4 linked regions of the Stegostoma tigrinum genome follow. The protein of the gene in region 1 interacts with the protein of each later gene in a pairwise test. Links are inferred from orthologs where the notes say so. Each region holds a gene or a part of one and is shown in the gene's direction. Other genes may lie near its edges.

Evidence for each region.
Region 2: the proteins of pex19 (region 1) and pex11b interact in binary tests that used the Homo sapiens proteins (3 or more experiments, as listed by UniProt). The link is inferred for Stegostoma tigrinum from reciprocal best matches to the Homo sapiens genes PEX19 and PEX11B.
Region 3: the proteins of pex19 (region 1) and pex16 interact in binary tests that used the Homo sapiens proteins (3 or more experiments, as listed by UniProt). The link is inferred for Stegostoma tigrinum from reciprocal best matches to the Homo sapiens genes PEX19 and PEX16.
Region 4: the proteins of pex19 (region 1) and pex10 interact in a two-hybrid assay, tested with the Homo sapiens proteins (4 studies listed by BioGRID and IntAct, with this or other methods). The link is inferred for Stegostoma tigrinum from reciprocal best matches to the Homo sapiens genes PEX19 and PEX10.

What each region holds. Positions count from the first base shown.
Region 1 is NC_081399.1:11,295,650-11,302,675, forward strand, and holds the start of pex19 (peroxisomal biogenesis factor 19), read left to right. Parts: upstream 1-4,010; 5' UTR 4,011-4,057; coding exon 4,058-4,124; intron 4,125-6,440; coding exon 6,441-6,529; intron 6,530-7,026. UniProt on the Homo sapiens protein: Necessary for early peroxisomal biogenesis. Acts both as a cytosolic chaperone and as an import receptor for peroxisomal membrane proteins (PMPs).
Region 2 is NC_081400.1:3,328,418-3,336,035, reverse strand, and holds the start of pex11b (peroxisomal membrane protein 11B), read left to right. Parts: upstream 1-4,603; 5' UTR 4,604-4,667; coding exon 4,668-4,741; intron 4,742-7,618. UniProt on the Homo sapiens protein: Involved in peroxisomal proliferation. May regulate peroxisome division by recruiting the dynamin-related GTPase DNM1L to the peroxisomal membrane. Promotes membrane protrusion and elongation on the peroxisomal surface.
Region 3 is NC_081370.1:12,839,676-12,846,681, reverse strand, and holds the start of pex16 (peroxisomal biogenesis factor 16), read left to right. Parts: upstream 1-3,999; 5' UTR 4,000-4,025; coding exon 4,026-4,140; intron 4,141-7,006. UniProt on the Homo sapiens protein: Required for peroxisome membrane biogenesis. May play a role in early stages of peroxisome assembly. Can recruit other peroxisomal proteins, such as PEX3 and PMP34, to de novo peroxisomes derived from the endoplasmic reticulum (ER).
Region 4 is NC_081381.1:23,731,576-23,739,156, reverse strand, and holds the start of pex10 (peroxisome biogenesis factor 10), read left to right. Parts: upstream 1-4,564; 5' UTR 4,565-4,715; intron 4,716-7,581.

The sequences.
Region 1 (7,026 bases):
TGGGAAACTATTTGCCTAATGTAGTCTTCACAAGTAGAACAATAGCATGTCTGTAGACTCAAGGTTACCAAACTGAGATGGAATCTGCAGCTGCAGTCATTTATGCAAAAGAGAACATTTCACACGATCCCTCTCGAATTATTTTGTCAATCTGTTAGAATAGTAAGAGTAGGTTTTAATTAAGATCCTTCCGATAATCATAGATAGAGGCTCTGAAGTAGTTACAGATGCACTGATGAAAAAAAAACTAAAAGCTTTTAGAGATCTAGACGCAGTCTGACTTAGTAAAAGCAGCCCCCATCACCTTACAGGGAGATAAGAGAGTCTGGGAAACACCATCCATAAGACCATAAGACATAGGAGTGGAAGTAAGGCCATTCGGCCCATCAAGCCCACTCCACCATTTAAATCATGGATAATGGGCATTTCAACTCCACTTCCCTGCACTCTCCCTGTAGCCCTTGATTCCTTGTGAGATCAAGAATTTATCAATCTCCGCCTTGAAGGCATTTAACGTCCCGGCCTCCACTGCACTCTGCGGCAATGAATTCCACAGGCCCACCACTCTCTGGCTGAAGAAATATCTCCTTATTTCCGTTTTAAATTTACCCCCTCTAATTTTAAGGCTGTGCCCACGGGTCCTAGTCTCCCCGCCTAACGGAAACAACTTCCCAGCGTCCACCCCTTCTAAGCCAGACATTATCTTGCACCACAGGTGGGTCATATACCAGTCTTTCAGTGACGTGATTGGGTCAGTTGGAAAGATGTTCACATGGGTGAATGAGGCAGCACTTCCTTCAGGTTATGGACCATCAACAGTTCCACGGTGTACACCACAGTAGGTAAATTGCTGAGGCTAACTGCATAACCTGCTGTACCTGAGAGCCGATTACAAAGGGATAACCTAGTACCACTGACCAATAGTAACCAAACCGGGATGGGGGCAGGGTTTGAGCTTAAACAGTGTAATTTATGACATTGTGAATTTTTTATGGGCCTTGTGGCACTGGAATAAGAAGCAATACTGAAAATAAAGCCGCAATAAAGATTACCTGGCAGTTACACACAAGTCAGATCCTCATTGGAAAATACAAGATGTAACAGAGCACTTCACCAAACAAAGGAAAACATGCATTTTTATAAGAGATAATGGGAACTACAGATGCTGGAGAATCCGAGATAACAAAGTGTACAGCTGGATGAACACAACAGGCCAAGCAGCGTCTTCGGAGCAGGAAAACTGACGTTTCAGGCCTAGACCCCTCAGGGTCTAGGCCTGAAATGTCAGTTTTCCTGCTCCGAAGACGCTGCTTGACCTGTTGTGTTCATCAAGCTCTACACCTCTATACATTTTTATACATTTGTTTCATCCTGTCTTCGCAATTGCAAACATATCATACTATTAATTAATGACGTGCGTTTCCAAATAAGCTAATTGTATGACTGTACAGCCAGAGATGGATTTCGGGTCAACTCCTCATCCTCCACAGTTTCAGAATGTCTCCCAGGATCTTGTGACAATGCTGTCACTTCTAAAAGTTACCTTGGCCCTTTTATTTGGAAGAGTCATTGTGAGGCAGAGATGCTGAACTGGATACTGTAGGTAAACAGCTTGGAAGGCCTTGTGTTTTGTTTTACAAGTTGGAAGAATGGAGGCTGAATGGGTTTGGCCAGTTGTCACTGATCCAGATTTTCCTGCTTTTGCTATTATTAGAAGCCTTCAGGGTCTAATAAGAGCTTTAGTGAATGTTTTCTGACTGCTGTTCTCTCTGAATTTTCTCTTTTTTTTAGCCTCCTGGATTGGAGAACTGCATGTGAAAATCTGTGCCTAAATTTGCCTTTTTGCCATGGGGTGTGTTAATTGGGTGTTACTAAATGGGAGCAGTGAATGAGTATCGGCTACTGTACCTGTTATTCAGTTAAGCTTTCCAAAGGTTAATTTACTCTAAATTCCTCTTTCTTTTGTTTGTATTTTAACCGTAGTGTTTAAATCAATTGTGTTTTGCTTAATATCGAGTAATTTGACCAGGCGCGTCCCATCTCGGCACTTCACCTTTACTCTTTAATTCAGAAAATGTTAGGGTGTAGGATATTTTAAAATATTTTGAGAGAGTCTGCTCGGGTCCATAACACTGTCTTATTTCCCTTCTTCAGGCTTTTCACTGTATTCAGGTCTATTCTCTCCCAATCGTTTGCCAACTACAGTCTGGTAACTGCCAAATAATTGGATACTTACCTATCATGCCAGGACCTTTCAAATTCCTTACAATCATCATTACGGGAAGAACCAAAGAGTTATAGTTTCAATTTGAACAAAGTTATGTGATTACCGCTAATGTTAGAATTCTTTAGCTAATGAGCAGTTTCTATCTTAGCATGTTTAAGTGAAATCCCCCCACCCCACTCTCTGTCTTCAAACAGGGCTGTCTAACAAAGTGTTCATTTAACCCACATTCCAATCTCTGCTCATTTCTGTAACCGATGATTCATTTCTCGCTGTCATAATATGGGAGTTGCTTTTACTGTCAGAGACTGGTTTGCTCTCATGATTTACCTCCTCTCCAGCTCTCTGTGATTTTTTTTACTATGTAGGTGAATCTATAACTACGTTGGAATCAATATCTATGATTATTCGAAGGATCCCGAATAAAACCTACTATTAGTTTTGTAACAGGTTGATGAAATAATTAAAGAGAGATTCACAAATTAATAGTAGTGTGAAATATTCTTATCTATGTCTTATGTGTAAACAACTGTAGCTGCATATTCTATAGCAATTCCACAGAGCTGCTGTTGTTCTAACTTCTGCAGCTACATTAAGCGAATATTTTCCTGAGCTCTCTAACTACTGTCAGTCATATTTTGCTGCATTAGCCCTGGGCAGCCATTGGCCATTTTGTGCTGCTCAGTCATGTGCATCCCTGACAATGCCAAGATCTCTCACTTCATCCACCCATTTCAGCATAATCCCATTTATCATGTCAATGCATTACTCCACACTTATCAGAGTTGAATTCCATCTGCCACATTTCTGCCCACTTCACTGACCTATCTAAATCATTTTGGAACTTAGAGCTAATTCTACACTGTCCTCTGAGCTGCTACTTTTTGTGTCAAGTGCACATGCATGTATTCTGCTTGAATTGATGTTCTTGTGATATATCCCGATTAGTAATATACAGGATTCTTACGGGGTTTGACAGGGTAAATGCTGAGCGAGGATGTTTCCCCTGTTGGGAATCTCGGGCCAGAGGGCACAGTCTCAGAATAAAGGGTCACCAATTTAAGACGGAGAGGAGGAGGGATTTCCTGTCTCAGAGGGTTGTGTGTCTTTGGAACTCCATGCCATAGAAAGGTGTGTGTGGGGTGGGGCGGGGGGAGAGTTCTTGTGTATATTTCAGGTTGAGGTAGATATATTCTTGATCAGTCCAGGAATGGACGATTACAGTGAAAGGTCAGGAAAGTGGACGTGAAGAATGTTGGAACAGCCATCATCCTATTGAATGGTGGAGCAGGCTGAAGGGGCTGAATGGTCTACTCCTGTTTCTTATTCTAATGGATGAAAATCTTTGATAGTTTCTAAGGCTTATTCTTAGGGCTATTTTATTTACTTTATGCTCATTGCTGAAGGGAGGATGCAAAACACAACATTGTACAGAGAGTACTCTTTTAGCCGATCATATATTTATCTCAATGATGGAAATGCACAAAAGAATCCTGTAGGTGAATCTAGAACTACTTTGGAATCTATGTCGATGACCTACATATTGATTCTATTCATGAAGTTTAAGCACTAAATAAATTTTAACATAAACACGATGAAGAAATGCACAAAACATGACTCTCTGAATGGTAAAGGGCCCACTTCCGGGTGAGTGGCGCTTGGTGCGTGTGCCTTTAAGAGGCAACCGGATGTCCGGTATTGACACTCTTCAACGCTCTTCCGGGACAAGATGGCGGCGCCCGCTGGGCGGTGTGGGACCCGGCGGAAGTGAAGGCCGCGGCTGGAACGGAAGCGGTGCCGGCGCGGTGACGTCAGTGGCTGGTGACGGGGAAGATGGCGGCGGCAGGAGGAGGAGGTGGAGGTGGAGAGGAGGATGAGGAGCTCCAGGAGTTGTTGGAAAGTGAGAGGATGATGCTGACACTGAGGAGGAGACTCTGCAAACATTGAATAAGTCTCAACCCGCCGCAACGGTCAGAGGGTAGAGGTCAAAGGCTAGAATGGCCGAGAGGGTTTTGGTTAATGGCTGGTAGTCAGTGAGCCCTGACCAATAGGGATTGGTTCATTGGGACCATAGTCAGTGAGCCCTGACCAATAGGGATTGGTTCGTTGGGACCTTAGTCTGTAGGCGCTGACCAATAGGGATTGGTTCATTGGGACCTTAGTCCGTAGGCGCTGACCAGTAGAGGTTTGGTTCATTGGGATCTTAGTCCATGAGCCCTGACCAATAGGGATTGGTTAATTGGGACCTTAGTCCGTAGGCGCTGATCAATAGGGATTGGTTCATTCGCACCTTAGTCCGTGAGCGCTGAACAATAGGGATTGGTTAATTGGGACCTTAGTCCGTAGGCGCTGATCAATAGGGATTGGTTCATTGGGACCTGAGTCCGTGAGCCCTGACCAATAGGGATTGTTTCATTGGGACCTTAGTCCGTGAGCACTGACCATTAGAGATTGGTTCATTGGGACCGTAGTCCGTGAGCACTAACCATTAGAGATTGGTTCATTGGGATCTTAGTCAGTGAGCACTGACCAATAGGGATTGGTTCACTGGGAACTTTGTCAGTGAGCCCTGACCAATAGGGATTGTTTCATTGGGACCTTTAGTCCGTGAGCCCTGACCAATAGAGATTTGTTCATTGGGATCTTCGTCCAGCGCTGACCAATCGGGATTGGTTCATTGGGATCTTAGTCAGTGAGCACTGACCAATAGGGATTGGCTCATTAGGACCTTAGTCCGTGAGCCCTGACCAATAGAGATTGGTTCATTGGGATCTTAGTCCGTGAGCGCTGACCAGTAGGGATTGGTTCATTGGGACCTTTGTCCGTGAGCACTGACCAATAGGGATTGGTTCATTGGGATCTTAGTCCGTGAGCGCTGACCAATAGGGATTGGTTCATTCGCACCTTAGTCCGTGAGCGCTGAACAATAGGGATTGGTTAATTGGGACCTTAGTCCGTAGGCACTGATCAATAGGGATTGGTTCATTGGGATCTGATTCCAAGAGCACTGACCAATAGGGATGAGTTCATTGGGACCTTAGTCCGTGATCGCTGACTATTACGGATTGGTTCAATGGGATCTTAGTCTGTGAGAATTGACCAATAGGGATTGGTTCATTGGCAAGTTGGTCAGTCAGATTGGTCAGTGAGGTTTGGCCAAGGGCTCTTGGCTGCTTGGTGCTGATCAGTGAGAAATGATCACTGAGTGTTTGTGTAGTAGCGTGTCGCTTATTGCAGATTACTCTGTGTGGATTGGTTCACTGGCTACTTGGTCAATGTGGTTTTCGCCGGTTAGAATTGGTCAGTAGGGATTAGTCCAATGTGGTCCCAGTCAGTGACATTTGTCCACTGGGGCTTTGGTCAGTGGAGTCTTGGTCAATCGGAGTAGCCAGTGGAGTGTTGTTCAATAAGCATTGGTAGCTGGCAAGTTGCTCAATGTGATTGGTTATTGTTGGGTTTGTTGTTGAGGATTGGCCAATGAAAATTGGCCACTTGGTGTTTGCTAGAGGATTGGTCAATGGGATTGTTGAATGTAGTGTTCATCAATGAGGATTGGCTCACTGTGTATTGGTGAATAAGATGAGTTGATAGGGTCTTGGTCAAGGGAAATGGCCTGTAGGTGTTAGTCAGTGGGCTGTTGTTCAGTGAGGATTGGTCAGTGGGCCGTGTGGAACAGCCATTGGGGTGTTGGTCGGTGAGGAGTGGCCAATGGGTTAGTCGGTGGGGGCTCGGTTTGATGGGATCGATGGGAGTCTAGCTGGGTAAGATAAGATAAAGAGCTTTGGTTGCTCGAAACCTGAAATGAAAGCAGAAATAACTGCAGAAACTCAAAGAGGAGAAAAGCAGAGTTCAGAACATTTTGCGAAATGTTTGTCTTCGCAGATGCTTCCAGACCTGCTGAGTCTCTCCATTGAGATGTGTTTTAATTAGTTAGGTTTGATGCTTTGAGATTTTGTCAATGGAAGAATGGTCATTTCGAGGATAGGTCAGCAATGTTTGATTATACATGGAGACGGCAGATACAGCTAGGAGGTGAGAGGCACTGTTTGGTGGCTGGAATGTGTGACAGTGCAGGTAGGAGTAATATCGGGCTCGGAGTAGAAGAGAATGCGGTTACGAGTGGGAGTGTGGACAGAGAACAAGGCGAGGCAGGGGTAAGATACCATTGGTAATGCTGCTGTTCCTGTTATCTCTAACGCTGTATATCTTCTGTAAGGTGCCCTTGATGATTTTGACAAAACGAAACCTACTCCACATCCCCAAGCAAAAGTGGAAGCTGAGAAACCAGATGGAAAAGGCTCCAAAGTGAGTGCCGCATTGATCTTAACACAAAGTGCAGATACTCCGAATCTAACCCTGTGCTGTCCCTGTCCCGGGAGTGTTTGATAGGGGACAGTGTAGAGGCATCTTCAGAATGTATCTAACCCTGTGCTGTCCCTGTCCCTGGGAGAGTTTGATGGGGAGACAGTGTAGAGGAAGCTTTACTCTGTATCTAACCCCGTGCTGTCTGTGTACCTAGGAGTGTTTGACGGGGGGGACGGTGTAGAGCGAGCTGTCCGTGTCCTTGGGAGTGTTTGACGAAGTGGGGGGCGGGGGGGGGCGTGGGGACAGTGTAGAGGGAGCTGTTGCTGTCCCTGGGAGTGTTTGATGCGGGGGCGACGGTGTAGAGGGAGCTGTCCCTGTCCCTGGGAGTGTTTGACGGGGGCGGGGGGAAATCGTGTAGAGGGAGCTGTCCGTGTCCCTTGGAGTGTCTGACGGAGGAGGCGGGGGACAGTGTAGAGGAAGCTGTCCCTGTCCCTGAG
Region 2 (7,618 bases), on another chromosome or scaffold:
AAAGCGAAAGGAATGTTGGCCCTTATTTCAAGGGAGTTGGAGTATAAGAGTAGGGAAATCTTACTGCAACTGGACAAACTACTGATGAGACCATATCTTGGAGTACTATGAGCAGTTTTGGTCCCTTTATATAAGAAAAGATATTATTTCATTGGACTCAGTTCAGAGAAGGTTCAGTATAATGATCCCCAATATGGAGGGATTGTCTTATGAGCAAAGGCTAAACTGGTTGGGAACTCTGCTCATCGGAGTTTAGAAGAAATAGAGGGGATGGCACTGGAGCATGGCAACTCTTTGCAAGCTGACCTCAGCAGATCATCTCCTCGCATCTTTTAGAATTGTTCTACTCTTTCAAATCTCCACTGTAATTCTGCCAGATTACTAGCAATGTCTGCAACAGTAGTAGACTCGCCAAGACTCGCAACATCGAGGGCCGAAGGGCCTGTACTGCACTGTAACGTTCTACGTTCTCTTAAATCTACTTACAGGTCTGGCAACCTTTTGACCTCCGAAAACAACCAATGGCCCGACTGAATCTGACCTGATGAAGACCAGGATGTCATGAAGCACCAACGGGGCCCGAATGCAGATTCTGGAACCGCAACCATTACAACAAAGTGACCATCCACTTACCGATTTCTTGACAATTCGACCTGGACGTTGATTGGTGACTCTGTCGAGTGGACCAACGTGGACTCGACACCCGACCCAACCTCATGGAGACCCAACACCAAGGCCGAACCAAACCCAGAACAAGATGCACCCCCCTCCCCTCCCCGAGTGCCTGAAGCAGCCACCAGTGCCCAGGACCAAATCAGATTCCAAACAACAAACAATCCACACCAACTCGACCAGAAGCAGCTCCTTACCCAGGAAACATGGGAGATGCACTGGCCCACAGAAACAGTGCAGTTTTCGTTTCTGATTTTCAGCATCCGCAGGTTTTTATTCGGCTTCAAGCGGCCCCTACCTGACACACTCCTGGCTAATGTCTACACCACTGAAAACAAACCGAATGAACTTAAAGCCGGACTCACCTACCAAAGGGAATTGACAGTCTGCCGCGTGCTCCGTTTTAAAGGGACATGCCCCACTCTTGCTTCACTCTTACAACCTGAGGATTTCTCAATCTGATTCGCAGGGTCCTTGGGTAAGGCAAAAGGTCCGCCTCCTGATCAACACCCTCTCGGTGTTCAGACGCAACGACCCTGATGAGTTACTACTCCACGGCCCTCGAATATCTAACGGTGAAGTACTGCCCCAACTGCCTGCCTTATTGCCCTGACAGCATTTTACATCCCACTTCGTGCAGACACAAAGAGCACACTCGATGAAATATACACTGCCACAAAGTCAGATAGTGCTGGTCTGAGGTAACAGATGAGCTCCTGCGTGACCGCTAGGTGTCAGTGGACTGGCTACACATTCAGGAAGTCAGCAGCCAAACTAAATGGAAATGCCACTGACCATCACAGATTTCATCAGGAAGTGTGTAAAGCACTGAGTGCCAAAGAAGTCAATCCGAGCGTTCCCCAAACAGAAACCGTGGATGAACCGGAAGATCCAGCCCTCACTGAAGTCCAGATCTGAGGCATTCAAGCTGAGTGACCCTGGCCTACACAGAAAATCAGGGTATGACCGTCACAAAACCATCAGAGATGCCAAGAGACAATACTGGACTTGAGTGCCAGAATAACGACACACACACATCGACTACAGCAATGCTTACCTAACATAACGGGCTACAAAGCAAAGCCGAATAGGATCGCTGACAACAACAGATCCCTACCCAATGAGTTCTTTGCATTATAGACTCGGTTTGAGCAGTAGGTCCATGAAATGATGGCTCCTGCCCAGACAGCCTTGGGGCACCCGTATTCACAGTCACTGCCGTCCACAGAAAGTATCTCGCCCAGATGGAGGCCCCGGCCGTGCACTTAAATCCTGGCAGGAGTATTTGCAGACATCTTTAAGCTCTCCTACTCCCACCAGGGCCGAATGAAAATCAGGCAACGTGCCTTAATGATTACTACCCAGCGTTTCTGACATCCATCGTTATCAAGTGCTTTGAGAGGTGAGTCATGACACACATCAACTCTAGCCTCCCAGATTGCCCAGATCCACTACAATTCGCCTGCTGTCACTACAGGTCCAAGGCAAATGCCATCTCTCTGGCCCTCCACCCATCTTTGGAACATCTGGATTACAAAGACACTTACATCAGGCTTCTATTAATTGTCAGTAAGCTCTGCCTTCAACACCATAATTCCAACAATGGGCTTGTGGCTTATTCCACTTTGCTGCCCTCTTCCCCCTTGAAGGAGCCAGTGGTGAAAACAAAAATTGCTGGAAATCACAGCAGGTCAGGTAGCATCCGTGGAGAGGGAGCAAGCTAACGTTTCGAGTCTAGAAGACTCTTCACCAGAGCTGGCTCAGTGGTGTACACACTTGATTATTTAAACACAGATTTGATTAGGGTTCTGGGCACAGTGGTTAGCACTTCTGCCTCGCAGTGCCGGGGGCCTGGGTTCTGTTCCACCCTCGGGCAACTGTCTGTGTGGAGTTTGCACATTCTCCCCGTGTCTGCGTGGGTTTTCTCCGGGTGCTCCGGTTTCCTCCCACAGTCCAAAGGTGTGCCTAGCCCATTGATTCCATCTATACTTCCCATTACCTCGTGGAAACATCCAACATAATCAAAGACCCTCTCACCCCAGTCATATTCTCTTCCATTGAATAGAAGGTACAAAAGTTTGATAACACATACCAGTACGTTCAAGAACAGCTTCTTTCCTGCTGTTTTCATAATGGACCTCTCTAATATTAGAGTTGATCCTTCTCTGCAACTATAACACTATACTCCGCATTCTGTTCTATTATCCTGACCTTAGCACACAAAACAATGTTTTTCACTGTATCTCAGTATGTGACAATAATAAACCAAACCAAATCAAATCAAATCTCATTGAAACATACAGGATTCCTGAAGGATTTGATAAGGTAAACGCTGAATGTTTGGTCTCATGGGAGAGTCTAGGACCAGACAGCATAGTCTCAGAATAAAGTTGTACCAAATTAAAACTAAGAAGAGGAGGAATTTCTTTTCTCAGGTGGTTAAGTGTTTCTGGAACTCCTTGCCACAGAGATCTTGGGGAGGGACCAGCGTTCTTCTATATGTTTAAGGCTGAGATAGATGCATTCTTGGTCAGTAGGGGAAATCAAGGGTTTTTAAATTTCATTTGTGGGATGCAGGCATTGCTGGCAAGGCCAGTAATTATTCTCCATCCCTAATTGCCCAGAGGGCAGTTAAGAGTCAATCACATTGCTGTGGTTTTGGAGTCACATGTTGCCGAGAATAGGCAAAGACCTGTTTCCTTCCCTAAAGCACATTCAGTCAATCCCTTCATGATCACCATGGGACTCCTAATTACAGATTTTCATTGAATTCAATCTCTACCATTTGCCACAGCGGGATTCAAAATTAGGTCACAGATCACAGAATTCCTACAATGTGAAAACAGGCCCTTTGGCCCAACAAGTCCACACCAACCCTCAGAACACCCATCCAAAGCCATTCCCCTACAACCCAACTAATCTATACATTCCTGAACTCTACGGGCAATTGAGCACAGCGAAGCCACCTAGCATGCACATCTTTGGACTGTGGGAGGAAACCGGAGCACCCGGAGAAAACCCACGCAGACACAGGGAGAATGTGCAAACTCCACACAGACAGTTGCCTGAGGGTGGAACAGAACCCAGGCCCCCGGCACTGCGAGGCAGAAGTGCTAACCACTGTGCCCAGAACCCTAATCAAATCTGTGTTTAAATAATCAAGTGTGTACACCACTGAGCCAGCTCTGGTGAAGAGTCATCTAGACTCGAAACGTTAGCTTGCTCCCTCTCCACGGATGCTACCTGACCTGTTGTGATTTCCAGCAATTTTTGTTTTCACCACTGGCTCCTTCAAGGGGGAAGAGGGCAGCAAAGTGGAATAAGCCACAAGCCCATTGAAGGGGCTGAGCAACCAACTTCTGTTCCTTATGATCAAACGGATAAGCCACGTGGTGGAACGTAAGCGCTCCTCAGACTTGATGGGCTGAATGGCACTTCGGTGAGAAGTCACGTGATACTGGTAAGAGGGCGTGGCCCCTTGACGTCAGGGGGAGAGGTAGCGCCTGATTGGCCGATTCAATGGCACGTGACTGAGAGCCGCCACCACTGGCGGCCATATTTTATACCCCGCGCAGCTGAGGCGGCCCCGAAACAAAACATAAAAGTAGATCTCTATCTATCTTTTTGTGAGCATTATGGATTCTTGGGTACGCTTCACAGCGCAGAGCCAGGGAAGGGAGCGTATCTTCAGGTAAATAGAGGCAGAGCTCCACTCGACTAGATACCGGTTGCAACTAAGGTTTTTCGCCGCCGCCGCCTCTTCATCCTTCACAACCAACTGTGATGGCGGCCGCGGTAGCCACGCCCTTGGCCGCTCCGATTGGTTGGACCCTTCGACCTCCGCGCTGTCTATTGGCACCAGCAACTGTCGTTCAATCCTCCCGCGCACGCCCCGATCCCCTGTCGAGTTTGCGTGAGTGCGCACAGTTACTACAACAACAACTTGCCCATTTGCAGCTCTGTCCACCAGACTTCCACAGAACTAAGACTTGCGGATGCTGTACGGTCTGAGACAGAAACAGAGGTTGCTGGGGAAGCTCAGCAAGCCTGGCAGCACCGTCGAGTTAAGGTTTGGAGTCTCAAGAGTCCAGTTGTGAAGAAGACCATAAGGCAGAGGAGCAAGAGTTGGCCCTTTGCCTCCTTGAGTCTGCTCCACCAATCAGTAGGATTATAGCTGGACACTCCTCATGTCCACATTACTGCCCTTTCCCCTTTGCCCCTGCACCCTGATCGAAGACCTATCTTTCTCAGCCTTGAAACTCTGCTGACTATTGCGCACAATTCTGGTTTCCCTCCTATAGGAAGGATGTTGTGAAACTAGAAAGGGTTCAAAAAAGATTTGCACGGATGTTGCCAGGGTTTGATCTGTAGAGAGAGGCTGAATAGGCACGGCCTATTTTCTCTGGAGCATCAGAGGCTGAGGGGTGCCCTTATAAAGGTTTTTAAAAATCATAAGGGGTGCTGATAGAGTGAACAACCAAGGTCTTTTCCCCAGGGTAGGGGAGTCCAGAATGAGAGGGCATAGGTCACCGGTGAGAGGGGAAAGATGTAAAAGGGATCTAAGGGGAAACTTTTTCATGCAGAGGGTGGTGCATGTATGGAATGAGCTGCCAGTGGAAGTGGTGGAGGCTGGTACGATTACAACATTTCAAAGGCACCTGGATGGGTATGTGAATAGGAAGGGTTTAGAGGGATATGGGCCAAATACTGGCAAATGGAGTGAGACTCATATAAGATATCTGGTCGGCTTGGATGAGTTGGACCAAAGAGTCTGTGTCTGTGCTGTATACCTCTATGCTGTATTGTTCCCTCAAAAACCTGCCCTCATCCCCCTGCTTGTAGCTATATCCGTAGGAAAAGGGAACAGAAGGTACAGATAGGATGGTTAAGAAGGTATTTAGCATGCTTGCCTTTGTTGCTCAGATCTTTGAGTTTAGGAGTTGGGACATTATGTCGAGATTCTACAGGATGTTGGTGAGGCCTTTTCTAGAGTACTGTGTCTAGCTCTGGTCACCCTGTTATGTGAACAGCATTAGTAAGCTGGAGAGGGCCCAGAAAGGATTTACCAAGACGTTGCCAGGAACAGCTGTGTGGGGGGTGTTGTTATAAAGTAGGCTGGATAGGCTTAGGCTTCTTTTTTGACTAGAGCATAGGAGGTTGAGAAGTTACCTTATTTATATAGATTTGTGAACTCATTGGGGGGACAGGTAAGGTGAATGACGACAGGTGTCTTTTCGTTAGGATAGGGGATTTCAGAACTGTGGGCATATTTTTAAGGTGAGAAGAGAAAGAGTTTAAAAAGACAAGGGGGAAAATTTTGACACAATGGTTTATGGTGAATGCAGGCATTGTTACAACATTTAAAAGTCATTTAGATAGGTACATGAATAAGAAATGTTTGGAGGATGTGGGCCAAGCAGAGCCAGGTGGGGTCTAGTTTAGTTTGGTGTAATGATCGGCTTGGGCTGAAGGATCTGTTTCTGTGTTGTATGAGTTTATGACTCTACAAGTAAACCCTGAGGCACTGTTTGCCTATAAGTTGGCTTTCAGTAGCCACTGTGTTTCCCACGGCAATATTTCTGTGATAACGAGGTGTAGAGCTGGAAGAATACACCAGGCCAAGCAGCATCATAGGAGCAGGAAAGCTGACATTTCGGGCCTAGACCCTTCTTCTATCTCTGAAGACGTCTCCTGTGTCGACGTTGCTGGGGAGGCTTAGTGCAAGCTGAAGGAGCAGCATCTGATCTGTTGCTTGAAGATCTTTCAGGACTGCATATCAAGCTTAATCGTTTTAGGGCCTAAGCAGCTCGTTCCAGGACCTTCCCCATCCCCCACAGCCCAGGCGCTGTTTTGACAGGAGTTGATTTCTGCACTGCTGACCTATATTCACCAACTTATTATCTCAGTCATCAGCTTTACTCCTCCTCTGGCTTATTAACAACCTATGGAGAGGCCTAATTTTCTTTCTCTCTGGACTCTGTATCCACTCATTCACCCTCTTCCCAACCCTTCATCAGCCTGAGTATTGTCTTTTCCCAGTTTCTGTCCATCCTTAAGGGTGACTGGACTAGAAGCAATAATTCTGCTTTCCATAGGTGCTGCCAGACCTGCAGAGTTCCTCTGTCAATTTCTGTTCTTATTTCAGGAACAGGAGTCGGCCATTCAGCCCTGAGAGAAAGCTGCATGGCTGGTCCGACATCCCTCACGTCTACTTTCCCCATAACTGTCGACTCCCCTCATTCTCGAGGATGTATCCATCTCTGCCTAAATATTCACAAGGACTGTGCCTCCACACCTCTCTAAGGCAAGGCATTCCATGCACTCAACCCGCTCAGAAATTCCTTCTCATCGCCGTCTTAAATTGCCACCCCTTTATTCTGAAAATGTGCCTGCTGCTCCTAGGCTATCCCATGGGAAATTCTCATTTCCTCAGCAATTTATTCTGTCAAGGAATCATATATGTTTCGATAAGATCACTTCTCTTTTGGCTATACAGGACATTGATTTTAGGCCACTTTTGGAATACTGCATTTAGTTCTGGTCTCTATCCCATAGGAAAGATGTTGCCGGGATTGGAGGTTTTAGGCTATGGAGAGAGGCTGATTAGGCTGGGGTTGTTGTTCTGGAGGCTGAGGGTAAGGGGTTAGAACATCATTATGGGTGTGGATAGGGTGAATAACCATGGCCTTTTTCCCAGGAGTAGGGAAGTCCAAAACTACAGGGGCATAGGTTTAAGGTGAGAGAGGAAAAATTTAAAAGGGACCTAAGGGACAACTTCATGCAGGGGGTGGTGTGTGTATGGAATAAGCTACTAGAGGAAGTGGTGGAGGTTGGTACAATTGCAACATTTAAAAGGCATCTGGGAGGATACATGAATAGGAAAAGTTTAGAGGGATGTGGGCCATATGCCGGCAAATGGGACTAGATTAATTTAGTTGGCATGGAC
Region 3 (7,006 bases), on another chromosome or scaffold:
CACCAACCAGCCACAAAGAGGCATGACCAATTCTCACTGGTCTCAATACACAAGGACAAAGAAGGACACAAATTCAACTGGGACAACACATCCATAATAGCACGAGCTGAACAGAGACATACCAGGGAATTCCTGGAAGCCTGGTATTCCAAGCAGAACTCCATCAACAAACACATTGAACTGGCCCCAATATACAAACTACTGAAAAACAGAACCTGAAGTAAAGCCAACCATTCCAGCAAACCGAGGCATATAAATAACAAGAGGGACAGAATACCAACACTTTACCGGAGGCACACTTACGATGTTACCTAGCAAAACGTCTGCAACCAAACACACCAGCTCGACAGGCAAGTCTACAACCTGACTCCAATGGTTCCCAACCAGGTTTGTTGAATAACCAAAGCCAGAGACCAAGTTCATTGCTTAAACAAAAGAGGTAACAGTTTATTATTAATATAGTAGCTTTAGCTGAGCAAAGTTGAACAAGATAATTTAAATATGTCCATGATTTAAACTCAATCTTCTTTGATTGTTAGCCCCAACACATATAGACAGACAGACACAGTTTAGGGATAAATTAAAAGGAAAATTAAAGAGATGTAACTGTCCAGTTCATTTAAGCAGTTTCAATGATACATAGCATCGCAGGTACTTGGGATTGTATCTTGCTTGATTTCTGATGACATCAGTCAATGTAAATAGCCTCTAGTAGTTTTAAGAAATATTCACTTAATTCTTATAACTTTCAATGAGTTGGTAATGGGTGGACAACTAGAAAGCAACCAAATCTCCATCCTGTAAATTGGCTTGAAGGTAAGAGAAAGAGGGAGGTGGTGGAGGGTTGTTTTTCTGTCTGGCTGTCTGTGACCAGCAGTGTGCTGCAAGGAGCAGCGTTGGGTTCACTGCTTTTCATCATTTATATCAACAATTTGGATGTGAATATAGGAGGAATGGTTAGTAAGTTTGCAGATGGCACTGTGGTGTAGTGGACAGTGAAGGAGATTATCTCAGAGTAGAGCAGGACCTGATCAGATGGATCAAGGAGTGGCGGATGGAGTTTAATTTAGATAAATGTGAAGTTTTGCATATTGGTTAGGGCAGGACTTAGACACTTAATTGTAAGGTCCTGGACAGTGTTGCTGAACAAAGAGACCTTGGGGTGCAGGTTCATAGCTTGTTGAAAGTGGAGTCTCAGGTCGATAGGGTAGTGAAAAAGCATTTAGTACAGTTGCCTTTATTGGTCAGTGCATTGAGTGTAGGAGTTGGAAGGTCACGTTGCAGCTGTACAGGACATTGGTTAGGCCACTTTTGGAATAATGCCTTCAGTTCTGGTCTCCCTGCTCTAGGAAAGATGGTATTAAACTTGAAAGGGTTCAGAAAAGATTTGGATGTTGCCAGGTTTGGACAGTTTGAGCTATAGGGAGGGGCTGAATAGGCTGGGGCTAATTTCCCTAGAGAGTCGGAGGCTGAGGGGTGACCTTATAGAGGTTTATAAAATCATGAGGGGTATGGATAGGATGAATAGCAAAAGTCTTTTCCAAGGGTAGGTGAGTTCAAAATTAGAGGGCATAGGTTAAAGATAAGCGGGGAAAGATTTAAAAGGCAACGTTTTCATGTGGAGGGTATGGATTGAGCTACCAAGGAAATGGTGGAGGCTGGTACAATTACAACTTTTAAAAGGTATCTGGATGGGTACATGAATAGGAAGGGTTTAGTGGGATTTGGGCCAAAAATGCTGGCAAATGGGACTAGAGTAATTTGGGATGTCTGGTCAGCATGAATGAATTGAAGTGAACAGTCTATGTCCGTGCTGTGTAACTCAATTACTCCACAAGTTGCACAGATTCAAATCCTCTGACAAAAAAACAGTTCAAACTTTGTTTGCAGAAGATACGCAATTGACTTTAATTGTTCTATTCCCAAACTGCTCATGATTTCCTGGAAAACGTTGACATAATCCCCGAACCCTGATCAGACTATATATCAACTGGTGGCCTCTAACTAGTAAACTGTGTTATTATTTCCACTGCTACCCTTGTTGTAATTGTCCTCAAAGGAATAGTCTCTGGCTTTCCTTACACTATACCTTGCTGGAGTCAACTCCGATCGTCACTTACAAGCATAAGACTACTCTTCAATAAGCTAGAAACACACCTGTGTGTTATTCCCCAACCACCAAACCCCCACTGCAAACTCCAGTCTTTCTCAGGGTATAAAGCAAATGCTGTTTATGGGATTTTCAACTCCTATGTTCTGAGCTGCAACAAAGTATTCATGTTGACAGGCTTCTTCCCAGCACCTCACAGCTTCCTCCAAAAACAGAGCCAATAACCTTCCCACTTTCTCAGCTCCCCAGGATGTCTTATGGACCTTGATTATGATAGTCAACTCGTCTCAACGTCTTCCCTGCAGAACAGCTAGAATTCTGCACTTAAAACATGGAGTCTGCTCTTAGTTCTGTTCTTCTTAAATGTCCCAGGAACTATCTAGAATGACCTACTAAAAGCCTTGCAAAAAGCACTGTGTTTCTCTATCGCTGGACAGAATTGAATTTTACCTTCTAACTACTGTTGGATCAGTATTCCACATATGTTACATTCTCTCAGAATGTAGGAAGTGGATTTCACCAGAGGTTCCATGCCAAATCACAAACAGTTCCCTTCCCCCTCCCCCATTTCTGAATGCGGGACCTTACCCAAATCATCAAATTTCCTGCTCCTCTGATGCTACCTGGCCTGCTGTGTTCCTCCAGCTCCACACTGTGTCATCTCTGACTCCAGCATCGACTGTTCTTACTATCTCTGACTGAGTTAATTCGGGATCACATTGGATAACTGGATCATTAATGGGTACCTCTTGATCATCATGGAGCACACATTGCTCCTTTACAAATTCTTAATGGATCGTTAGAGCACTGACGTAGGTTCACACACAGGATCAGTGGAGTCATACACTGGACCATTGGGAATCGCATACTGGATCGCCGAGGCCATACACTGGGTCACGGTGGCTCAGTGGTTAGCACTGCAGTTGCATAGCACCAGGGACCCGGGTTCGATTCCAGCCTCGGGTAACTGTCTGTGTGGAGTTTGCACATTCTCCCTGTATCTGCGTGGGTTTCCTCCAGGTGCTCCAGTTTCCTCCCACAGTCCAAAGACGTGTGGGCTAGGTGGTTCGGCCATGCTAAATTGTCCGTAGTGTTCAGAGGTGTGTGTGTTATAGGGGGATGGGGATGGGGTTGGGTCTGGGTCTGGGTGGGATGCTCCAAGGGGTGGTGTGGACTTGTTGGGCCGAAGGGCCTGTTTCCACACTGTAGGGAATCTAATCATATATTGGATTGCAAGAGGTCACACACTGGAGCATGGGTGGACATGCTGGTACACAGGGGGCTACACACACACTTACTGGGCCATTGGTGGAGAGTGGTGTCACACACTGGATGACTTGGGGAAGATGGCGGGGGGCGGGGGGAGCTGTTGCACATTGGATCACAGACTGGACCATGGCAGGGTTGAGCAATCGCACTCTAGTCGTGGAGGTGGCGGTCAGACACTGAATCGCTGGGGTTGTCACAATGGATGTGGGGGGGGGGCATCACACTGGATCACTCTGAGGGATTCACTGGGGAGGGTACACTGGATCACTGTGAGGGGGGCATTGGGGAGGGTCACACTGGAGGGAAGTGCCTGACACTGAGTCACAGACTGGACCATGGCGGGGGGGTGGTGGTCAGACACTGGAACCATGGCGGGGGGTGGGGGCGGTTAGTGGTCAGACACTGGAACCATTGCGGGGTTCGTGATCAGACACTGGATGTCTCACACTGGGTCGCATCTGAATTCAGCGCCAATTTTCAGATCATCGATGCCCCGCCTCCTTGCTCTGGTCCTGACCAATAGGGTACTGGTGTGCGGGGTGGCAGCGAATCAGCCAATCAGTGTGGAGCGGTGCCGGTATGCCCCGGATTTGAAGCCAGTATTCCCTGGAAGTGGTTCCGCGCGCGATCGGGGGATAGTGCTGTCATGGTGGATGTGTTGAGGCGTTTGTTGTTCCGGTACCGGGAGTACGTTATTAGGAATCCGGGGGCAGCCGCTCAGCTGGAGGGCTCGGTGCGGAGCGTGTCCTACATCATTGCCGGTCAGAAATACCCTTCATATACCTCCCCATCAATACCTGTCCTGAGAGCTCGGTGAGGAGCGGGTCACATATATCCTCCATGTAACCAGGAGTAACTCCCCTCTCCCATAAACACAGCTCTGAATGCCCTTCATATACGTCCCACAGCCAACTATCAGTCGTTTCATATACCACCTTCCTCCGTCGAATACCCCTCATATCACCAATACTCCTTTGTCTACCCCAGTATAAAATCTTCTGCATACGCCTCCCTCCTGCATATACTCACTGAACACGTCCCTCATACAATTCTGAGGAAGGGTCATCCAACCCGAAGCGTTAACTCTGATTTTTGTTCTTCGCAAAAGACCTGCTGAGCCTTTCCCGCAACTTCAGTTATCGACCCTGATGTACAGCATCGGCATTTAGAACATAGAACATTACAGCACAGTACAGGCCCTTCGGCCCTCAATGTTGTGCCGACCTGTCATTACCGATTTTAAACCCATCTAGATTAGATTAGATTCCCTACAGTGCCGAATGAATGAATGCATGATAGTAAATAGAACCACAGACAATCAAAACTGTTGGGAACTCAGACTTTTATTGAACAAACATAAGATGCCTTTTTCTAACTTTAAAATTCTAACCTTGAAAGTAACAAGACTAATACCTTCTGAATTATGCAAGATCACTCCAATCTCATTAAAATAGCCATTAACAGTCAAAAATAACCAGTAACATTTAGCACATGTTTAAACCATCTCTGATTTCCTGCAAAACAGTTTTTGTACAAGTGTTAAAATGTTAATGTATGCTTGAATTCTGTATGAAATGGCTGCTTTTGAGCTATTTCGGGGAATTCTATTTCATAGAACAATACAGCACAGTACAGGCCCTTCGGCCCTCTGTTGTGCCGACCAGTCATACCGATCTCAAGCCCATCTAACCTACACTATTCCATGTACGTCCATGTGCTTGTCCAATGACGACTTAAATGTACCTAAAGTTGGCGAATTTACTACCGTTGCAGGCAAAGCGTTCCATTCCCGTACTATTCTGAGTAAAGAAACTACCTCTGACATCTGTCCTATATCTTTCACTCCTCAATTTTAAAGCTATGCCCCCTCGTGCTCGCCGTCACCATCCTAGGAAAAAGGCTCTCCCTATCCACCCTATCTAACCCTCTGATTATTTTATATGTTTCAATTAAGTCACCTCCCAACCTCTTTCTCCCTAATGAAAACAGCCTGAAGTCCCTCAGCCTTTCCTCATCAGACCTTCCCTCCATACCAGGCAACATACCAGGCATCTCCTCTGCACCCTTTCCAAAGCTTCCACATCCTTCTTATAATGCGGTGACCAGAACTGTACACAATACTCCAAGTGCGGCCGCACCAGAGTTTTGTACAGCTGCAGCATAACCTCTTGGTTCCGGAACTCGATCCCTCTATTAATAAAAGCTAAAACACTGTATGCCTTCTTAACAGCCCTGTCAACCTGGGTGGCAACTTTCAAGGATCTGTGTACGTGGACACCGAGATCTCTCTGCTCATCTACACTACCAAGAATCTTTGCCTTCCGGTTACTCCTACCAAAGTGCATCACCTCACACTTGTCCGCATTAAACTCCATTTGCCACCTCTCAGCCCAGCTCTGCAGCTTATCTATGTCTCTCTGCAACCCACAGCATCCTTCGTCACTATCCACAACTCCACCGACCTTAGTGTCGTCTGCAAATTTACTAACCCATCCTTCTATGCCCCCATCCAGGTCATTTATAAAAATGACAAACAGCAGTGGACCCAACACCGACCCTTGCTGTACACCACTGGTAACTGGTCTCCAGGATGAACATTTCCCATCAACTACCACCCTCTGTCTTCTTTCAGCAAGCCAATTTCCAATCCAAACTGCTATATCTCCCACAATCTCATTCCTCCTCATTTTGTACAATAGCCTATTGTGGGGAACCTTATCGAACGCCTTGCTGAAATCCATATACACCACCTCAACCGGTTTACTCTCATCTACCTGTTTGGTCACCTTCTCAAAGAACTGAATAAGGTTTATGAGGCACGACCTTCCTTTCACAAAACCGTGCTGACTATCCCTAATCAATTTATTCTTTTCTAGATGATTATAAATCCTATTCCTTATAACGTTTTCCAACACTTTACCAACAACTGAGGTAAGGCTCACTGGTCTATAATTACCAGGGTTGTCTATACTCCCTTTCTACTTGATGTGCAGTCATTTCCCCCGTATCCATGAGAACTGTTCTTCCTAAGCCCGCCCCAATAATGAAACCTGTGAGCCCTTTTTTTAAATGGAGTGTGGGTGTTGCTGGCTAGACCAGCATTTATTGCCCATCCCTAATTGCCCCAGGGGACAGTTGAGTGTCAACCAAACTGCTGTGGGCCTGGAGTCACATGTCGGCCACACCAGGAATGGGTGGCAGTTCCATCCCTAAAGAATGTTAGTGAACAAGATGGGTTTTTGCACCAATTGTCAATGGACTCTTAATTTCACATTTTTTTTCAATCAAGTTTAAATTCCACCATCTGCTATGGCAGGCTTCGAACGCAGATCCACAGAACATTACCTGGGTCCCTGGATTAACAATCCAGTGATAATATTACGAGGCCATTGCCTCAGTCTCAAAGCAAAGTTTGTTTAAAAATTTTTGACTCTTGCTGTTGCTTATTTTATTGTGTAGGTGAATTTGTGATTTTGTGGATATAGAGGATTTGCTGTATCCCCTTCAATGTCTTCCTATACCTTTTTGGTTGCTTGTTAGCTCTGTGCGGAGTTTGTCATCAGGAGCTAGATGTACCCTTCGTATACACCCCCATACATTCCGCACCACACGATATCCACTCTGCCC
Region 4 (7,581 bases), on another chromosome or scaffold:
CATCCACAGTTAGATTGTTAATTATGTGAGTCTGCCTCAGTTTTGAAATTTTCATCCACATGTTAATATCCTCCGTGTCCTTGGCCCGATCTCTGTTACTGTGTCTACGTAGGAACATAAGAATATGGGACCAGGAACAGGCCATTCAGCCCTTCAAACCTGTTCCACTATTCAGTGGTCTTCAGCTGCTACTGCCAGACCCCGTTATTACTTTCACAGGGAGTTGGCACGGTATTGGTTACTGTAACATCCAGATGCCCTGCCAATTTGATAGCCGTAGGACATTAGATACACCTGGACTGCGAATTGATGATTTAGTTAACAGTCCTTGCTGTGCCCTTTCATTGTTTTTCATGCATGCATCATTCAAAATGTCTGCTTGGTTTTCCCCTTTTTAGGAAATTAGTCCTGACTGCAGCTGCTGAGAGTATCTTAAACTGCTGCCAGACTCTGCATTTTCCATTAATTCTGAGTGTTCCATGTTCAATAGGCTGACCCCATTCTCACTTAACATCCAATCACATGTGCACTCTATTCCAAAAGAGCACCAGGAATCAACACCCTTCCCAAGTATCCTCAAGAATATTTGACCCTCAATAGCATCACCAATACAGGTTGACTAGCTGCTGTCACACTTGCAGGATCTTGCTGTGTGGTTCCGCATTCCCTGCGTTAGTTCACCATCTACTTGATTGTCTGGACAAACTAAGGGACAGCCTGAAATCATAAAAAGATATGCAAGTCAGCCTTCATTTCTTTACAGCAGGGGTTACTGGATAGTGACCAGGAGTAGGAACGCCAGGCAATTTTTTTTTAACCCAGGGAATGCAACCCAGGGACAAGAACAAAGTTGCTGAAAAAGCTCAGCACGTCTGGCAGCATCTGTGAAGGAAAAAAAACAGAGTAAGCATTTTACATCCGGTGACACTTCCTCAGAACTGGAACACAGGGACTGAGATCAGTAAATTGGGATTAAATTGGGAATACATGGAAAGGGAGGATTTGCTGAAGACCTGAAGCAAGTAGTTTAGATGTATATCCCCACACTTCACCTTTGGTAAGGAAAACTAGACAGTTCCTGTGGTTTTTCCAATGAATATACATAATGACTCACTGCCATCCGTGGATCTGGTTAACACTTTTTAAGCTCAGAGTACCTGCTCTAACACATTCTGTCAAACACACCCTACTGCTGAAATCTGACAGTCAGAGAAATTGAACTGTTAGTGTGTTTTCTTTCAGTGTGATGCAATCCATAGTGTGTGAGTTGTTTCTTGCACTGGCTGTGGTTGCAAGCTAGAATTTATGGCAATGATGTCATTTTGATGGGACGCTAAACTGATGGCCACATCTTTACTCTCATGTGGATTAAAACAGCACCATTTTATAACAGCATCATCTTCAATATTTATCCCTCAATCACATTCATTATGAGTAGGTTATCAGATTATAATCTGATTATAATCACGCCTCTGTTTCTCTGAGCTTGGATGCTGCATTTCCTCAATGACAGCAATGATGGGTCTGGGTGGGATGTGCTGAGAGTCGGTGTGGACCTTTTGGGCCAAAGGGTCTGTAGGGAGTCCCATACTGTAGGGAGTCTAAATCCAAGTGCTTGTCCTCTCCTTTGTACAGCCCGTTGTATCTCAGCAGGTGTTGCTATTATACCCAACTTTGATGTATCTGGCAGTCACGTGCTTTGTTTGACACTATAATTGACTCCCGGTTAAGAAATTTCTGACGATACTCCTTCCTATGGTCTCTGTCATTTTTTGAGAATATTCCTGTATTGAACTCAGAAGAGGAAGGGACTGTTTGTTTTTGATCCCTGCATGGACTTGGTGGCTTAGAGGAAGCTACACTTCCAGTAGAGGAAGAATAATAAGGTGTGTGGCATGGCCAACACTCCTGCAGGGTTCTATGATTCTATATAGCTAGCATTTTATAACTGTAATCATGAACTTTTAGTCAAACTCTTAGATATATTTGCAAAAATCTGGGAAGAGGTTGTTCTTCTGAAATGCCATCACTGTTTCACATTTTAAGAATCATAAATTAGTCTGTGGGAAGTTTAGAGGTACATTCCTTGTGACCATTGTGGAGAAGATTGTCACACGAGTCCTGCAGAATGACCTCTTACCTCACAGCAAAGACATTCTTCCAGAGATGGGCTGTGGTTTCTGACCATCTAGTGGAACCATAGGTCTGATCTTTGTCATTGAGTAAATTCAAGAAAAGTGTCTAAAATGAAGCAAACAGTGCTACACGGCTATAAATGATCTATCAAAGGTCTTTGACTCCACCAGCTGCCAAGCCCCTATGGAAAGGCTTCTGAAGACATGAATGTTCAGAGAAGAATTATTACTCTTCGGTGATTTTTGCATGAAAGTACAACAGTAACTGTCCTTTGCATTGGATTGATGCTGAAGTTTTTTTCGTTTCCAGTCAGACATCAAATACTGCTATGCTAATGTGTTAATTCTAATCACTATCTCCCCCAGATAGAGCTGGATGAACACAGCAGGCCAAGCAGCACCAGAGGAGCAGGAAGGCTGACGGTTCGGGCCTAGACCCTTCTTCAGAAAACCCATTCCCTCCAGCCTGGTGATGGAAATCATTTCTGACCAGTGTTTGCTGGGATCATAGCTGACTTCTTGAATTAATGAGAAACTTTTCAACAACAACTGGCTGTGTGTTAAGTCTAAGGTGACCCTCCAGCACATCCATGGCCTACAACATGCCAATGAGTACACAATGTGGCCTACTCTGTAAAGAGCATTCACGCCACCCTCATCCTCTTCAACTCTGTCACAATATGATTGGTCTCTTACTCAACCTGAGCAAGATTAAAATCTTTCATCATCACTCTCCTGCACAAGAACCTATATCTCCAACCTCTGTTCTGAAAGGGAGATTTTAGAAATCATTGAACACTACATATCTGAGTACCTGCCTTTGGTAGAACATTGCTGCCATAATTAAACTTCAGCACCGTATCAACTGTGCCAGTGTAGCTTTCCAGATATTGTGCATCAGGTCTTCAGCAAAACCCATCCCTATACAAAGACAAAGGCTTTAGCCAACAATACTGTTGTCACAATCACTGTTGCCAAATGGCAGTGGGACAAAGGCATCCCATCAAAGACACTACCAGGTGCTGGAGAATTTTCCAACTGTTGAGTCTCTGCAAGATTCTCAGAGTCAAGTGAGAAGTCAGGCATTCCTCACTGAAGCCAATTCTTTTCTGATGTAGGGTCTAGGCCCGAAACATCAGCTTTTGTGCTCCTAAGATGCTGCTTGGCCTGCTGTGTTCATCCAGCCCCACACTTTGTTATCTCCATCAGCATTGTCATCTGGACACTCCTCCATGTGTCAAATAATCCATCACAATGCAGATTCTCTTCTCACAATTTAAAGATGAGACTCAATCTCAAGGACAAAGAAGATATTCAAAGAACACAGCAGCACAGTGGTTCAGTGGTTAGCAGTGCTGTCTCAGAGCACCAGGGACTCAGGTTCAATTCCAACCTCAGGCGACTGTGTGGAGTTTACACGTTCTGTGTCTGTGTGGGTTTCTGCTGAGTGCTCCGATTTCCTCCCACTGTTTAAGATTGTGCAGGTTAGGTGGATTGGCCATGTTAAATTACCCATATTGTCCAGAGATGTGCAGGCTGGGATTAGGCTAGGGTAGGAGGGTGAGTCTGGGTGGGAAGCTCTTTGGAGAGTTGGTGTTGACTTGTTGGGCTGAATGGCCTGTTTCCACACTGTGTAGGGATTCTATGGATACTCTGAAGACCAGGTTGGAATAGGACAAATTGACATTGATGAATGAGAGGTTCTTTCCATAAAAGTCTGCACCTTGTGCCAGCTCCTGAAAAAAAACTGCAACCCAAATTCTGACAGCATTAACCACCTGCAGTGACCCAACAAAACAGGTGTGAAATAGACCGAGCCCTGGTTTGAGAACCCCACCTTCTCCAGGGCTGCTTGTGGTGAAAGAGCTGTGGCTCAGTGAATGGCCTGCTGAGATCCAAAAAGCCAGACAGCTGACAGGTGCCATCTTTGTCTAAAGAAGCTGATCATTGACCAGTTCTGTGAGCTGATCAATGGTTGCATTTCTTATTGATCGTTGAACTGATTTGTGAGCTGATCAATGACTGGAATTTTTATTGATTATTGACTGGTTTTCTCAGGTTGTTTATTGATCCGGTTTATTACTGATATTCCGGGACTGATTATTAACTGAGTTTGTGAGCTGATCATTGTCTGGGCTCCTAATTAATTACTCGCAGTGTTTCTTATTGGTTTGAAAACCGAAAGAGCTGCGGATGCTGTAAATCAGAATCAAAAACAGAAAAGCTCAGCAGGTCTGGTAACATCCGTGGGGAGATATTAGAGTTTACACCTCCAGTGGAGTAACCCTTCCTCAGAAAGACTTGAGCTTTTCCAGTGATTACTGTTACAATTTCTGATGTTTCCTCTCGGGGTGACTATTGGTCGGGATTGTCCTCCGGGCACCAGGTGGCGGTGTTTGTGGATCCCCGCAATGAGCACAGGCCTCGGCGCAGGCTCACAGCGGCTTGGCCGGTCCCTGTCTCCCCAGGGACCCAAGGCCGGGAATAACCCGCCGCTCGGGTTGATCTCAGCGCAGTTTTAAGCCGGATCATTCCTTCCGTTGAGGCCATTTGTCCCAACGCCCCCGAGTCAGCCCCACAGTAGGTGCCCCCAAACTCAGTCCCTCGAAAGATAAAGGGGCGGGGGGGATGAGGGGAGGAGAGAGGGTACGGGGTGGGAGGAAGGGGGGGTAGGGGTGGGGGGGGAGAGAACGGGGGGGGGTAGGGGTGGGGGGGGAGAGAACGGGGGGGGGTAGGGGTGGGGGGGGAGAGAACGGGGGGGGGTAGGGGTGGGGGGGGAGAGAACGGGGGGGGGTAGGGGTGGGGGGGGAGAGAACGGGGGGGGGTAGGGGTGGGGGGGGAGAGAACGGGGGGGGAGAGAACGGGGGGGGGTAGGGGTGGGGGGGGAGAGAACGGGGGGGGTAGGGGTGGGGGGGGAGAGAACGGGGGGGGTAGGGGTGGGGGGGGAGAGAACGGGGGGGGGGTAGGGGTGGGGGGGGAGAGAACGGGGGGGGGGTAGGGGTGGGGGGGGAGAGAACGGGGGGGGGTAGGGGGGGGAGAGAACGGGGGGGGGTAGGGGGGGGAGAGAACGGGGGGGGGGTAGGGGGGGGAGAGAACGGGGGGGGGGGTAGGGGTGGGGGGGGGGTAGGGGGGGGGAGAGAACGGGGGGGGGGTAGGGGGGGGAGAGAACGGGGGGGGGTAGGGGTGGGGGGGGGGTAGGGGGGGGAGAGAACGGGGGGGGGGTAGGGGTGGGGGGGGGGGAGAGAACGGGGGGGTGGTAGGGGTGGGGGGGGGAGAGAACGGGGGGGTGGTAGGGGTGGGGGGGGGGAGAGAACGGGGGGGTGGTAGGGGTGGGGGGGGGGGTGGTAGGGGTGGGGGGGGGAGAGAACGGGGGGGTGGTAGGGGTGGGGGGGGAGAGAACGGGGGGGGTGGTAGGGGTGGGGGGGGAGAGAACGGGGGGGGTAGGGGTGGGGGGGGGAGAGAACGGGGGGGTGGTAGGGGTGGGGGGGGGAGAGAACGGGGGGGGTGGTAGGGGTGGGGGGGGAGAGAACGGGGGGGGTAGGGGTGGGGGGGGGAGAGAATGGGGGGGGGAGAGAGAACGGGGGGGTAGGGGTGGGGGGGGGAGAGAATGGGGGGGGGAGAGAACGGGGGGGAGGGGGAGAGAGAACGGGGGGGGAGGGGGGGAGAGAACGGGGGGGGAGGGGGGGAGAGAACGGGGGGGGGAGGGGGGGAGAGAACGGGGGGGGGAGAACGGGGGGGGGGGAGAACGGGGGGGGGGGGGGAGAGAACGGGGGGGGAAGGGGGGGGGAGAACGGGGGGGGAAGGGGGGGGGAGAACGGGGGGGGGAGGGGAACGGGGGGGTAGGGGTGGGGGGGGGAGAGAACGGGGGGGGTAGGGGTGGGGGGGGAGAGAACGGGGGGGGTAGGGGTGGGGGGGGAGAGAACGGGGGGGTAGGGGTGGGGGGGGAGAGAACGGGGGGGGTAGGGGTGGGGGGGGGGTAGGGGTGGGGGGGGAGAGAACGGGGGGGGTAGGGGTGGGGGGGGAGAGAACGGGGGGGGGTAGGGGTGGGGGGGGAGAGAACGGGGGGGTAGGGGTGGGGGGTGGGGGGGGAGAGAACGGGGGGGGTAGGGGTGGGGGGTGGGGGGGGAGAGAACGGGGGGGGTAGGGGTGGGGGGGGAGAGAACGGGGGGGGTAGGGGTGGGGGGGGAGAGAACGGGGGGGTGAGAACGGGGGGGGTAGGGGTGGGGGGGGAGAACGGGGGGGGAGAACGGGGGGGGTAGGGGTGGGGGGGGGAGAACGGGGGGGGTAGGGGTGGGGGGGGAGAACGGGGGGGTAGGGGTGGGGGGGGGAGAGAACGGGGGGTAGGGGTGGGGGGGTAGGGGGAGAGAACGGGGGGGGTAGGGGTGGGGGGGGGAGATAACTGGGGGGAGAGAACGGGGGGGGGGAGAGAACGGGGGGGGGGGAGAGAACGGGGGGGGAGAGAACGGGGGGGGGAGAGAACGGGGGGGTAGGGGTGGGGGGGGTAGGGGGAGAGAATGGGGGGGTAGGGGGAGAGAATGGGGGGGTAGGGGTGGGGGGGTAGGGGGAGAGAATGGGGGGGTAGGGGTGGGGGGGGTAGGGGGAGAGAATGGGGGGGTAGGGGGAGAGAACGGGGGGGTAGGGGTGGGGGGGGAGATAACTGGGGGGAGAGAATGGGGGGGGAGAGAATGGGGGGGGAGAGAACGGGGGGGTAGGGGTGGGGGGGGAGATAACTGGGGGGAGAGAATGGGGGGGGGAGAGAACGGGGGGGGAGAGAACGGGGGGGAGAGAATGGGGGGGTAGGGGTGGGGGGGGTAGGGGGAGAGAACGGGGGGGTAGGGGTGGGGGGGGAGATAACTGGGGGGAGAGAATGGGGGGGGAGAGAACGGGGGGGTAGGGGTGGGGGGGCAGAGAACGGGGGGGCAGGGGTTGGGGGGGGAGAGAACGGGTGGGCAGGGGTTGGGGGGGGAGAGAACGGGGGGGCAGGGGTGGGGGGGGAGAGAACGGGGGGCAGGGGTGGGGGGGAGAGAACGGGGGGGTAGGGGTAGGGGGGGAGAGAACGGGGGGGAGAGAATGGGGGGGGAGAGAACGGGGGGGGAGAGAACGGGGGGGTAGGGGTAGGGGTGGGGGGGGGAGAGAACGGGGGGGTAGGGGTAGGGGTGGGGGGGTAGGGGTAGGGGTGGGGGGGGGGAGAGAACGGGGGGGTAGGGGTAGGGGTGGGGGGGTAGGGGTAGGGGTGGGGGGGGAGAGAACGGGGGGGGTAGGGGTGGGGGGGGGAGAGAACGGGGGGTAGGGGGGGAGGGGTGGGGGGGGAGAGAACGGGGGGGGGTAGGGGGGGGTAGGGGTGTGGGGGGAGAGAACGGGGGGGTAGGGGTGGGGGGGAGAGAAAGGGGGGGTAGGGGTGGGGGGGAAGAGAAAGGGGGGGTAGGGGTGGGGGGGGAGAGAACGG